Linked DNA regions of Danio rerio. The protein of the gene in region 1 interacts with the protein of each later gene in a pairwise test. Links are inferred from orthologs where the notes say so. Each region holds a gene or a part of one and is shown on either strand. Other genes may lie near its edges.

The links.
Region 2: the proteins of bnip3la (region 1) and smco4 interact in binary tests that used the Homo sapiens proteins (3 or more experiments, as listed by UniProt). The two-hybrid records come from large-scale screens. The link is inferred for Danio rerio from reciprocal best matches to the Homo sapiens genes BNIP3L and SMCO4.
Region 3: the proteins of bnip3la (region 1) and lmna interact in a two-hybrid assay, tested with the Homo sapiens proteins (2 studies listed by BioGRID and IntAct). The link is inferred for Danio rerio from reciprocal best matches to the Homo sapiens genes BNIP3L and LMNA.

What each region holds. Positions count from the first base shown.
Region 1 is NC_133183.1:6,737,621-6,741,274, forward strand, and holds part of bnip3la (BCL2 interacting protein 3 like a), read right to left. Parts: intron 2,736-3,654; coding exon 2,483-2,735; intron 2,300-2,482; coding exon 2,218-2,299; intron 2,133-2,217; coding exon 2,026-2,132; intron 1-2,025.
Region 2 is NC_133190.1:43,945,413-43,949,863, reverse strand, and holds the start of smco4 (single-pass membrane and coiled-coil domain-containing protein 4), read left to right. Parts: upstream 1-1,615; 5' UTR 1,616-1,802; exon of another isoform or gene 1,803-1,813; intron 1,814-4,451.
Region 3 is NC_133191.1:33,787,043-33,791,319, reverse strand, and holds the start of lmna (lamin), read left to right. Parts: upstream 1-1,462; 5' UTR 1,463-1,537; exon of another isoform or gene 1,538-1,870; intron 1,871-4,277.

The DNA.
Region 1 (3,654 bases):
CTTGAAAAGTTCCAGATCTTGTCTAGTTGTGTGTGTAATATAATGTTGTTTTTTCCCCACATGGGGAGATTTGAGTTTTGTTTTTGTTTTATTTTTCATTAAACTCTTCATTCCCTGCATTTGGGTCCTCGCCTCCTCTTCACCACCCCCATATCGTGACAATAACTGGCCTAATTACCCTAACCTGCGTAGTTCACCTAATTAACCTAATTAAGCCTTTTAATGTCACTTTAAGCTGTATAGAAGTGTCTTGAAAAATATCTAGTCAAATATTATTTACTGTCATCATGACAAAGATAAAATAAATCAGTTATTAGAAATAAGTTTTTAAAACTATTATGCCTAGAAATGTGCTAAAACAATCTTCCCAGAACAGAAGAGAAATTGGGGGGAAAAATAAACAGGGGCGCTAATAATTCTGACTTCAACTGTATATGTTACAATTTTGAATTTAAGAGGTACAAAACTAAAATAAAGAAACAAATGATGTCTTTGATAACCAGAAAGGGATATTTGAACCTATCGGTTTACATTATATGGATGCCCTGTTTTTCTAGGCTTTATTGGTGATAATGGTCAAGAATGTTAGACCATTATTGCCTATTTAGCTTAAGTAGAGGGTGAGAGCCAGTAGGGGTGTCAAATTTATTATTTCTTCGGTCGGTTTTGTTTGATCGCTCCCTGTCATTTAAAAGAATATTACAATGGCGAACGCGGCAAGTATAAAAGCCTTGTGCATTTCGCAAGGTGCGTGCAGTCAGCGGAGTTGCGCGATGCGGCGCCAGGCGAAAGACTGATTTCACGCGGCCGCCATTTCTAAAAGCGAAATGGCGGCTGCGGTGGGAAGAAACCCGGAATTATCATTGGGAGTTACATAGTAACGTTGTGTACCTGGCTGTATATCTTATCAGCGAAGAGAAAGTGACACAAATTTATAATTTCACCGCCTTCCGAGTGACCCGAAAGTCCGTTCTGAATGAATGGTGAAAATAAAAAGAGATATCAGAGCTCATTTTCAGCTAAGTTAAGGGAAATGGCACTAGTTAGCTAACGTTTTCTTTCCCAAACACACGTTTTAGATGCCATTTTTCAAACTCGAGTTAATAAACTGATTCTTTCACTATATTAGACTTGTCAGGATACTGAATTAAAAGACAAAACATTAATTTCCCGCTAATATTTAAGGCACTGTTGATGGCTTTCTTTAAACAGCGCTGATTTGCCATTGTGTTCACGTGTTCAACAGAAATGATTGTGATTGGCCGAGAAGGTCATCAGTTCACCCACCACTGTTTACCGAGTACACAGACAAGCGATCGGCTTGATGACGACTGATCTTGACGGCTGCTTCGCGCTCCTGTCCGTGTATCTGTGTTCGCACGGGGTGAGAAGCAGTAAACTGAGTGCAAACCAAACACAGATACACGGAGACTGAAACGCTAAGCAGCCGTGACGATCAGTCGAGTCATCTGCGCTCAGCAGCGCTTTCATGTTAGCGGGAAATAGCCAGGTTTAAAACTTCAGTACCGGGACAACACTATACGCTTATTTCACACGGCCGCCATTTTAAAGAACCAAAGCGAGGCTGCGGTGGGAAGAAACCCAGAAGTATAGGACCAGCACTGTAAACATTGCAGTAACATGCTGTGTACTACAAACCTCCAGCTGTTGCCGAGATTTCAAAATGCAGAAATGGTGTAAACATCACTTTAATATTATTTAGTAAGTTTATTTTAAACAATTAAAAGCAACTTAGCATCAAACAACATCACAATCTCAGCGATACGCTTAAGTGTCCTCCTGGGCTTCAGTTCATGGCACCAGTTAAACACCGTGAGGACGCTTTCCTGCTTCAGCTTATGTAACCCGGTGAGCGATAAAACACTGCAGTCTTATACTTCCGGGTTTCTTCCCACCGCAGCCTCGCTTTGGTTCTTTAAAATGGCGGCCGTGTGAAATAAGCATATAAATCCAGCTTAAGGTGAAAAGGAACAAGGGTGTCTGTGATATACAAGGTTTTCTTACTTCGGGGGAACATTCTCTGGTCGACTGGACCAGTCTGCAACCCAGCTCTCTCCTTTATTCATGAGGATATCGTCTTCTTTGTCCTTCTCCATACTGTCATCCTCTGACTGAAATAGATGAGAAATTCAGCCTCATGATCAGAGTTTTAGATGATTCAGTAGTGATTGCAGATTACTGTGGATTCAGTCTGACCTGACAGTCTCTCTCGCTGGGCATCTCCACATCAAACATGATCTGACCCTCGTCCTGGTCAGGACTGTGTGGCCGTGGAGGACTGAAAACACACAGAAGAGAGGTGCACCGATCAAACAAAAAGATCTCTGTTCCAGACTCGCATGCAAACTGCACTGCAATGATTTCATAGTGCCGAGTGTGTAAACGAAGTGTTGGGAGAAAAATAAAAAGCGTCTACTGAACCATGCAGTGTAAATGCATCTAAAGTGTCCTGGTATCGTACCTGTTGCAGGACGAGCTGCTGGGACTGGACTCGTGTTGAGCGTCCAGCAGGATTTTCTCCATGTCTCCATTATGGATGGAGGAGGAGGAAGGCACATGCTCTAGTCCTCCTGTCAGGACCTCCTCTTCCTCCTGCACGGCCTCCAGGGCCTGTGAAGTCTGGGGCTCGCCTTGGTTCCCGTTCCCCAGCAGTGAGGGCAGGCTGGGGCTCTGATGCTGAGTGTTTCCATTCATCTCCAGCTCCACCCAGGACCCTGATCAACAAAAACAGTCATTAGCATCAGCTGCTGCTTAACAGATTAATGCATCTGGGCCCCAAATAACCCTAACCCAGGGGTGGCCAACCCTGTTCCTAGAGAGCCGCTACCCATATCAAACACACCTGCCTGTAATTATCACGTGGTGTTCAGGTCCTAATTAATTGGTTCAGGTGTGTTTGACATGGGTAGCAACTGAAATCAGTAGGAAGGTGGCTCTCCAGAAACAGGGTTGGCCACCCCTGCCCTAACCCTAAGAGCTAATGCACAGACTTAATAAGCTAATACACATCTTTTCTTTCTTCTTTCATTCTTTCAATGCTAACCTCTGCCTGACCCAGATGTGTCTATTGGAGTGAAGCTGAGCAGGCATTTCAATTCATCCTCTAGGCAGAGGATTGTGGAATTGAGATCAAGACAGAGTAGGAGAGTGTGTGCACATTTTAAGCAAAGAAGAGACGAAACAACATACATTTCATTCCTAGAAGAATCAGAGGCTAACATGCTCTGTTGTCCCGGGGCAAACATAAGACACGCATGTGTTCTGTCTGACCCTCACTGTTGCTAGGCAACACAGAAAGATCCAGTATAATAACATGATGGAAAGTTGCTAGGGAATTGTTATGCGGTTGCTAGGGAGTTCTGGTTAAAAGTCCATTCACTAATCTCAACAAATGCTTTGAACAGAGCGTTAAGTAGATATATATAATATACTTTAATAATTAACATTTGCGATATTACCAAGGGCTTTTTAAAATACATTCATTGATTTATTTTCCTTCGATGTAGTCTCTTATTTATTAGGGGTCGCCACAGAGGAATGGACCGCCAACTATTCCGGCATATTTTTTACACAGCGGATGCCCTACCAGCTGCAAACCAGTTTTGGGAAACAAACACACAAACACACACAAAA
Region 2 (4,451 bases), on another chromosome or scaffold:
GTAACCGACTCCCATAAGGAAGGTCATCGGTTCGATACCAGCTCGGAGCAGCGTCAGCATCACCCATGGCCAAATCTTTGCGACTGCACAGGCAGCATCGGAGCATACATGATAGTGATGCGAGGATGGCGGCTATATCCACGGCAGCTTCGAATAATCCAGGGGTCGGGAAGGGTGAGTAATAAAAAATACATTATGATTAATATCGGGTGAGTTGCAGGTGGATGATGAGCAGGACATGGCAGTGGACCAGCGATAAAGCAGAGAGTGGGCTTTGCAGAATGAAAAGATGAGACACCTAAAATAATGGATGAAGTGCAAGAGTAGCCTACTGTTCAAAGTTTCAGTTAGAGGAGTCATCAGAGGAAAATCTGCTTTCGTTCTGGGAGAAACGAGATCGCTTATTTCTACGACTGCAGCACCTTGCAAGGAGATTCTTGTTTATTCCTACAACAAGCGGTGCGAGTGAACGCTCATTCAGTGCAGCTGGCCATGTTTTGGTGGTGAGGCAGAATTGCCCGAATCCAGGCACAGTAGATGCTGTTCTGTTTTGGCACAGTGTGAAGAAAAAGGCCAAGTAAACACAACATACCTGCCATTTAGGCTGAAGTGGCACCCTTTTTGTTATCTTGTTCCTGTATCTGTAAAAGCTGAAATGTCTTATTTTTACTTTCTGTATCTATTTGAAAATGAAGTTAATGTTGTCTAAAGACAAACTTTTGTTTTTATAAATAAATGTTGATTTAAAAACGTTTCAGATAAACATATTACTTTACTATCAGAGATGCGCAGATTAGCTCACTGAATCTGCTGTTAATATCCACGGTGACCTGCCTAAAACAAAAGATTCAATTATTAAAGTGACGATGGGGTGCGGGTCAGGTGCGGATACATATATCAGATAAAACTATTAAGTGCGGTAGGGTGGCAAGTAGATTGTTAGTATGAAGCTGCAGATTCGGGTGTCATTTTAGCTGATCCGCGCATCTCTAATACGCGTGCACTTGACAGAAGTATGATTCAGCCTTTATAGTGAGAGCGGTCTATTAATAATAAAACAAAGACATTTCATTTCTGTCATGCAGCCTATACAAAAATTATGTTACTTTAATTTTATAATATTTGATTTTGTAATGTACAAAGGTAGAATTGCTCTTTAAATGCCATCTGGTTGTCAGATGTAGAAATTCATTTGGCACAAACTGTAATAACAGTGCATTATAGGGATTTTCTAGCTGTAGAGTGTACATGGATTGTAGACTTGTTATTGCGGTGCATTGTGGGATTGATTGAGTGCACCTAATGTCCACTATGATTTCGGCCACCACTATAAATGCCTGCTCTCTTAAATACATGCACTATTTGAGCTTACAGGGTTGATTTTGGATACAGTCTTTACTTCTTCATGTCTAAATTGTACTAATACAGTCTGTTCGTGTAGATGTTGTATGTTAGTAAACGTTTCTAATTCCTAACATTAGGCATGGAACGCCTCTGTGTCTTCCTCTGTCGGTTGTGCGAATTCACTGACGCTACAGATGTTTTCATTATTTCGTTTTCACCTCCTCTCTCTCGTGCCCCCGCAGACAGGGAGAGCGCGCTCGCTCGTGCGCGCGCCTCCTCCTCGGCCTCCTCGTGCGCGTGACGCTCCATTACTGCCACGTAATCTCGGTCGAGCCCCCGCTCACTCACTGAAAACCTCCGGGAACCGTGACAACGACTGCGGAAAACATTCAAACCGTACAGTACGGAACCCCTCCGGGCGGTGCGCGCGGGTGTAGCGGAACACAGACACTGCAGCGGTAAGCGAAAAGTGCGTGGAAGTGAACGAGACGCAGACCACATTAGTGCATTATCACAAGCAACAGGGCGAGCCATGTGTGTGTGAGAGAGACTGTGAAGTGGAACTGGATACTTTTCAAGTCATTTGCATGCAACAGGTCGATGATTTGTTGTCGGTAGGAACTCGTTTTCAATGTAAACACCGTCACGCAACTTTAATGCAGAAAAGAAAGTGCGGCGCTCACGCTGTCATGCGGTAGATTTCTAGCATGTTCCACAATGAAGCGAGTCTGAACGGGACCCTGCTGCCTTTCTAGGGGGTAATTTTAACACTCGTTCAGCTCACATACTGAGAAGTGTAACTTGTTTTGGTCTTCAAAAGAAGTTGAGCACAACACGAGATGTCACACCCACCTGTAGAGCTGATTCATAGTGTGACACCCGTCAGCGCTTATTTACGTTCATGCTATGCTGCATTGTGCTCAGTGGATTTGGCATGTCGTGTAAATTTGCTTATTTCTATTAATGGAGTGAGTTAAGGTAATTTAGGAAGATATTTAATTAATAATCTGTCACCAGAGGCCTACTTGGTGATTAGAGGGCAATTTCAGGTATGGGGCTCTAGCATTGAAACTCAAAGCATCTTCTTTCTCTACACTGTAAACAATTATATGATCAATTAGTCATGACAACATATGTTTTAAGTTCATTGTAACTTATTAAACTAAGTTAATCATGTTCTAACTTAATTTTTTAAGTTATGCAAGCTAATTTAGGTCAGTTTAACATAATATAAGTTTAATGGACTCATGAAGTTATTTTGAATCAGCTTAAAATTTTAAGGCAAACAGTTGTTTTTTACAGCGTATATATATATATATATTTTTCTCGTTTTTTCATATTAAAATACATTTTAAGTGGAACCTTTATAATGTAAAATTTAAAATAAATAAAAGTTATTTACCAATAAAAATCAAGTTCACTAACGATGTACAGTTAATTAGCCCTATTATTCATGGGGGCCTCCAGATTTGAAAAGATGTGATGGCAATAACATCTGAATGGTTACAGACAGATTTTACCACATATGATAGAATATTTATAAGAGCTATATGTTTAATATAGACTTCTTGGCATTAATCGGGACCCTCTAATTTCCTGGGGCCCTAAGCAGCAAGTTTACCTCACTTATAGGTTGAGTACGCCCCTTTCTGTCACATTACAAATATTTGACCTTGGACCACAAAACTAATCTAGTGTTGCAGGGGTATAGACCATTTCTATGTGGTGATATCATTGGCCCATGAACATTTCCATATTGCCATCAAACTATTTTATAACTGTAACAAGAGGTGAATCAATCATAACCTTTAATACAGCTATCATAACATATAATCATGACAACATGTGTTTTAGTTTATTGTAACTTAAGCTAAGTTAATCATGTTCTAACTTATTTTTTAAAGTTACGCAAGCTGTTTTAAGTCAGTTTAACAAAGTTCAATGAGCTCAAAGTTAGTTTAATTCAGCTTAAATTTAAGGCTACACAGTTTAGATTTTATTTTTTTTTTTCATGTTAAAATATATTTTGAGTGGAACTTTTAACTTCGTAATGTAATATTAAATGCAATAAATTCACCAGTAAAAAAGGTTTGAAAACAAATGATGTACAGTTTATTAGCCATATTTGTGATTAGATTTTAATATTTGCATGTGCAGTACAGAAGGAATGTTCCATTATTCATGGGGGCCCCAAATTTGAATAGAAGTATTTGCGGGAAAATCTGAATGGTTACAGACAGATTTTACAACATATGATAGAATATTTATAAACAAGCTATATGATTAATTTCGGCTTCTTAGCATTGATTGGGGCCCTCTATTTCCCAGGGGCCCTTAGCAGCTGCTTACCTCGCTTATTGGTTAAGTCCACCCGTCTATCACATTACAAATATGTGACCTTGGACCACAAAACTAATCTAATGTTGCAGGGCTATATTTTTGGAAACAGCCACAAATACATTGATTAGATCAAACTTATTGATTTTAGTTTTATGCCAAAAGTCATAAGAGTATAAAGTACTGATCATGATTCATCAACATGTTTTGTACATGTTTTACTATAAATATCACAAAATTACACGTTTGATTAGTAATATGCAATGCTCAGAGCTTAATTTATATGCGATTCTCTCATTTTTTTTTAGTTTTACTCATATACCCCAGATTTTCAAATAGTTGTATCTCAGCCAAATATTGTTCAGTCTTAAAATATACATCAATGGGAACTATATTTCGGGGTGTCCGCGGGGTCTTAAGTCTTAAAGTGTCTAAAATCTCAATAACTAAATTTTGGGCCTTAAAAAGTCTTAAATCTACTGAAATGTTGTGTTGTAGGTCTTGCATTTTAACTTTTTGTTTAAAGATTGCATTTTTAACTCTATTACCGTAATGGTTTAATTACTTTTCTTACAGTAACATTTAATACTGACCTGGCCTATATTTTATTATTATTATTATTGTTATTATTACTATTAAATGTATTAAATTATAATACTTTTTTGACAAGTCTTTTCCTTATTCTTAGCATTTAGCCCTGTATACACTGCAAAAAATGCTTTTCTTTCTTAGATTTGTTTTGTCTTGTTTCTAGTACAAATATCTAAAAA
Region 3 (4,277 bases), on another chromosome or scaffold:
TGCATGCCATTTCAAGGCAGCTCTGAAAAAAGAGGTGAGTCTCTTCCACCATCTCTTCTTCACAGTCTGTAAGAACTGACAAAAAATATGTTAACCATATTGTTCTGTTTATGTAAAATGGGATGGGGGGGGGGGGGGGGGGGGTTGCTGGGCTTAGATGTATCTTTAAACTAATAATCCATGAGTTTTGGGGTGGCGAAGTGACGCAGCGGTTAGAGCTGTTGCTTCACAGCTAAAAGGTTGCTGGTTCGAGTGCCTGCTGGGTCAGTTGGCATTTCTGTGTGGAGTTTGCATGTTCTCCTATGTTCGCGTAGGTTTTCTCTGGGTTTTCCCCACAGGTTCAAAGACATGGGCTATAGATGAATCGGGTAAGCTTAATTGTCCGTAGTGTATGTGTGTGAATAAGTGTGTATGGATGTTTCCCAGGGATAGGTCTGCTGTGGCGACCACTGATTAATAAAGGGACTTAGGTGAAAAGTGAATGAATTAATGAATCCATGAGTTTTTTAAATAGACTGCCCATCTTAGCAAAACATTATTTGAAATATGTTTAATTATATCAATGTATTGGTAGTTAATGCTATCTAAATGTACAAAAAATATAGCCTACATGTTAATGGTTGTTAACAAAATGTGAAATATTATCTACTGCTCTTGCATTCAGCCCACAAATATTGCTGGTGCTGCACAACCAGAGGCTGCAGTTTCAGAATTACATTTCTAGGATCAAATATGGCCTTACCCCACCCCTATGCCTTAACCCAACCACCGCCTACTGGACGGATCAGGAAGAACAATTTCTAAAAATTCTAAGGGTGCTTGAATTGCTGTCCTAGAAATGCGTTTCAGTCTCTCTGGTTTACCAGGAACTATTTTGGCTGCTCTTCTGTGCCCAGCTATTTAGATTTAGAGTTAGCCGAAGCCTGCAGTCACTAGTAGCTACTGCTCTTTTGATTTGAGACACTCTTTAAAAAGTTGCTAAATGAAGCCAAATGAATGTTAAAAATAGCTAAATTTGTTGCTGGGTGCTTTTAGGGAAACAAGCTAGGGTATTATGACAAGTTGCTAAAAAGTTAGCAACCAGGGTTTTACAGGGTTTTGTCAATCAGACTTTCAGTTAAATAGTCTTGACCTAATGTTTCATGTAGCCAAATGTCTATGTGCTAAAAAAAATAAGAATAAGTTAGCAAATCTTACCTTTTGTTTGTTTTGATCAGAATCATGAGGATCTTTCACAGTCACTATAATGCTAAGAAAATAAGGCATATACATCAAGCTACTAAAATTTTCATTGCTATTCGTCAAGTTACTAAATGGGAGCCTGATAAAAATGTGTGATTTTTTTAATACTTCAGTCAAAATTCATTACCTGTGTATGTTTTTGTAGACCACGGTAAATTTCTGCGTTTCTATGTATCGGCCACTAGAGGACGCCGCACGATTCCATCATTCTGCTGCACTCACTGCTCTGCTAGTGTGCGGCGATGGTGGATCCATGACGCCTGCAAACAATTCCTGATTTTGGGCTTCGGCAACTGTGAGTCACTATTTCCCTGTCTGAATCTTTGGTCAAACATTTAATCTTCTGCGGTGGTTACTGTAGTCCGTAGCAACAGCATTTATGTCGTGTTTATAAATGGATAGATTTGTATGTTCATTCTCAATGCATGACTCAACAGTTTTAACAGCATAATTATTTCTCAAATATATCCTTGCTGATCCCAGGCAGTTCCCGTCTCTAGTCCTGAATTAGTCATTTTGGCATGCCTTAAATTATATACAATTTTGTAAAAAAAAAAAAAAAAAGAATAAAATTTGAAGGCTATACTCACAGTATTCTCAATCACATTAAGTATTCTATAAAAATTACATGCATGCCATGCTGCTGCTAATTATTAAATGTTGTTAGTTTTTTATAAAAAATATTCGTTTTTTTACCGCTACAATTACAGTTGAGGTTATAGTATTAAAAAGTAAAATGTAGCTTTTATTTGATATTTTTTTTAGTTTTCATTTTTTAAGTGTGGGCCTATTTGTTCTTTTGTATTTTTTTACTAATTTATTTTTAAGTTTTAGTAGTTTTAGTATTTAAAGTTCATTTAATACATATATTTTATTTAATAAAATATTTTATTGAAGTTTTTTTTATTTTCATTTTTATTAGTTGAAAGTTATTATATTTTATATATGAGCAATAGCAATTTTACACGAGTAGCAGTGTGATATGGCTGTATATCAGCACTGGTGGGAGCCGTGCGTAAACGTGTTTGCATGCTTTAGTGTTCCACTAGTGACAATAAACAGTCATATCGCACTGTTACTCGTGTGATAATGCGTTTATACAACAGTTTGACGGCATTATTGTGTTTAAAAAAGAAAATCAAACAGAGTCTAAAAATTCTTTTGAATGAGGAACTACTTTCTTTTACCATTCATTCACATCTGAAGCTGATGTCAAAACAGCAAAAACCATTGCTACTTCACCAACGTCACTTTAGAGCTAGTATTAGAATGATTCTCTAGAGTAATATCTAAAGTCAGGGGCCTGCAGGATTTTATTCAAAAGAACGCACATATCCAGCACCACCCTGCCCCATCATCCCTTATTCATATTTCAACCTGAAAAGCACTGGTGCTTGCTGTCAAACGCTATAGGCCTATTATTTAAGGGCATTTGTTACGAAACTGATAGGATCAAACTTATGTTTCCTGTTTATATATATATATATATATATATATATATATATATATATATATATATATATATATATATATATATATATATATATATATATATATATAATATATATATATATATATAAATATGTATATGATTTGCTTAAACACTCCCTCAACTGAACTTGCCGCGAGTGAGATTGAGAAAATGAAAGCACGTCCTTGTATCCTAATTTGAATACATTTTTTATTTGTTGGTTATCTACTAGATAAACAACAATAATAAATATTATCTGAGTGCTACAAAACCAGTTCACTATATGCTTCAGCGCCAAAACGCAAACTGATTTGTTAAATAAAATAATAATCTAGCCTAAATAAAATGAAAGTGAAATATTCACCGTTTCAGAGAAACCTATATTAAACTGTTTTCAGTATTATTTACAAAACCATCCATTGTGCCGGTCAATTTTAATTTAATTAGTTTAATCAAGCAGGTGATTTAAATAAGCAGGACAGGTATTTACAAGGCTATTCGCAGCAGCACTGAGGTGTTTCCAGATTGCCTCGGAAGAACAAACTCAGTTGGAAGGGTAAGAGAACTTAGAAACTCGTGAGAATGGGGATGTCTAAAGCCAAAAGATTTCTTTACCCATGTGCCATGCAAATAATATATATATATATATATATATATATATATATATATATATATATATATATATATATATATATATATATATATAGTATTTATATTCGTAGTTTATATTGTAATTACTTCTGTAAAATAAGTTCTTTTTAAATGTCTGGGTTAAAAAATAACATCTTTTATTATATATATCGGTTTTAGTAATTTTTGTACTTTAGCTACTTATTTTATTGCCGTTTTATTTACTATTATTTTATAATTTTTTTTGTACTTTGTATTTTTTTGTTTTAATCTGCCATGTTTACTGTAGTACATATAGCAGTGGCATTTTAGGGATGTTCATAGAGAAAGACAGAACGATTTGTATGTTCATTCCCAATGCATGACTCAACAGTTTTAACAGCATAGCATTTTACTCAAATAAATACAGTGATTTCAGGCTGTACTCATTTGTAGTCTTAAATTAATCACTGGGAATGATTTTAAGTGTTATATTAACAGTTAAATGCCATTACATTTGAAGTAATGTGAAAATGATTTAAACACTGTAATTCGGAGGTGTCACGAAATTCCTTTCTGGTTGGAACCTGTCATGTCTTGTAATTTGACACATACTGTATGTCCTAACATCTCCACCTTTCGACCACCAGTCTAGAGCACAAATCCACCTCATCTGCCTCAGCAAAATTTCCCAAATTCTCCCCAAAAAAATCTGCAGGTTGTTCCCCGAAATCACTGCACACAATGAACTTCTGATCGTGACTCCTGATTGTGACATAATCTGCTTTTAGTTGTCACAGATGTCAGAAATGCCACTCGGGTGGAGAGACATTTGCTCTAGGGAATCACATTGTTATGTGGGAATGCAGTGGTTGTGTGAGGTAATGCGACGAGAGAATGAGAAGAGAAAGTACAGAACTGATAGTGTTACTCGTCTAGCTGTCAGACGTCTCTC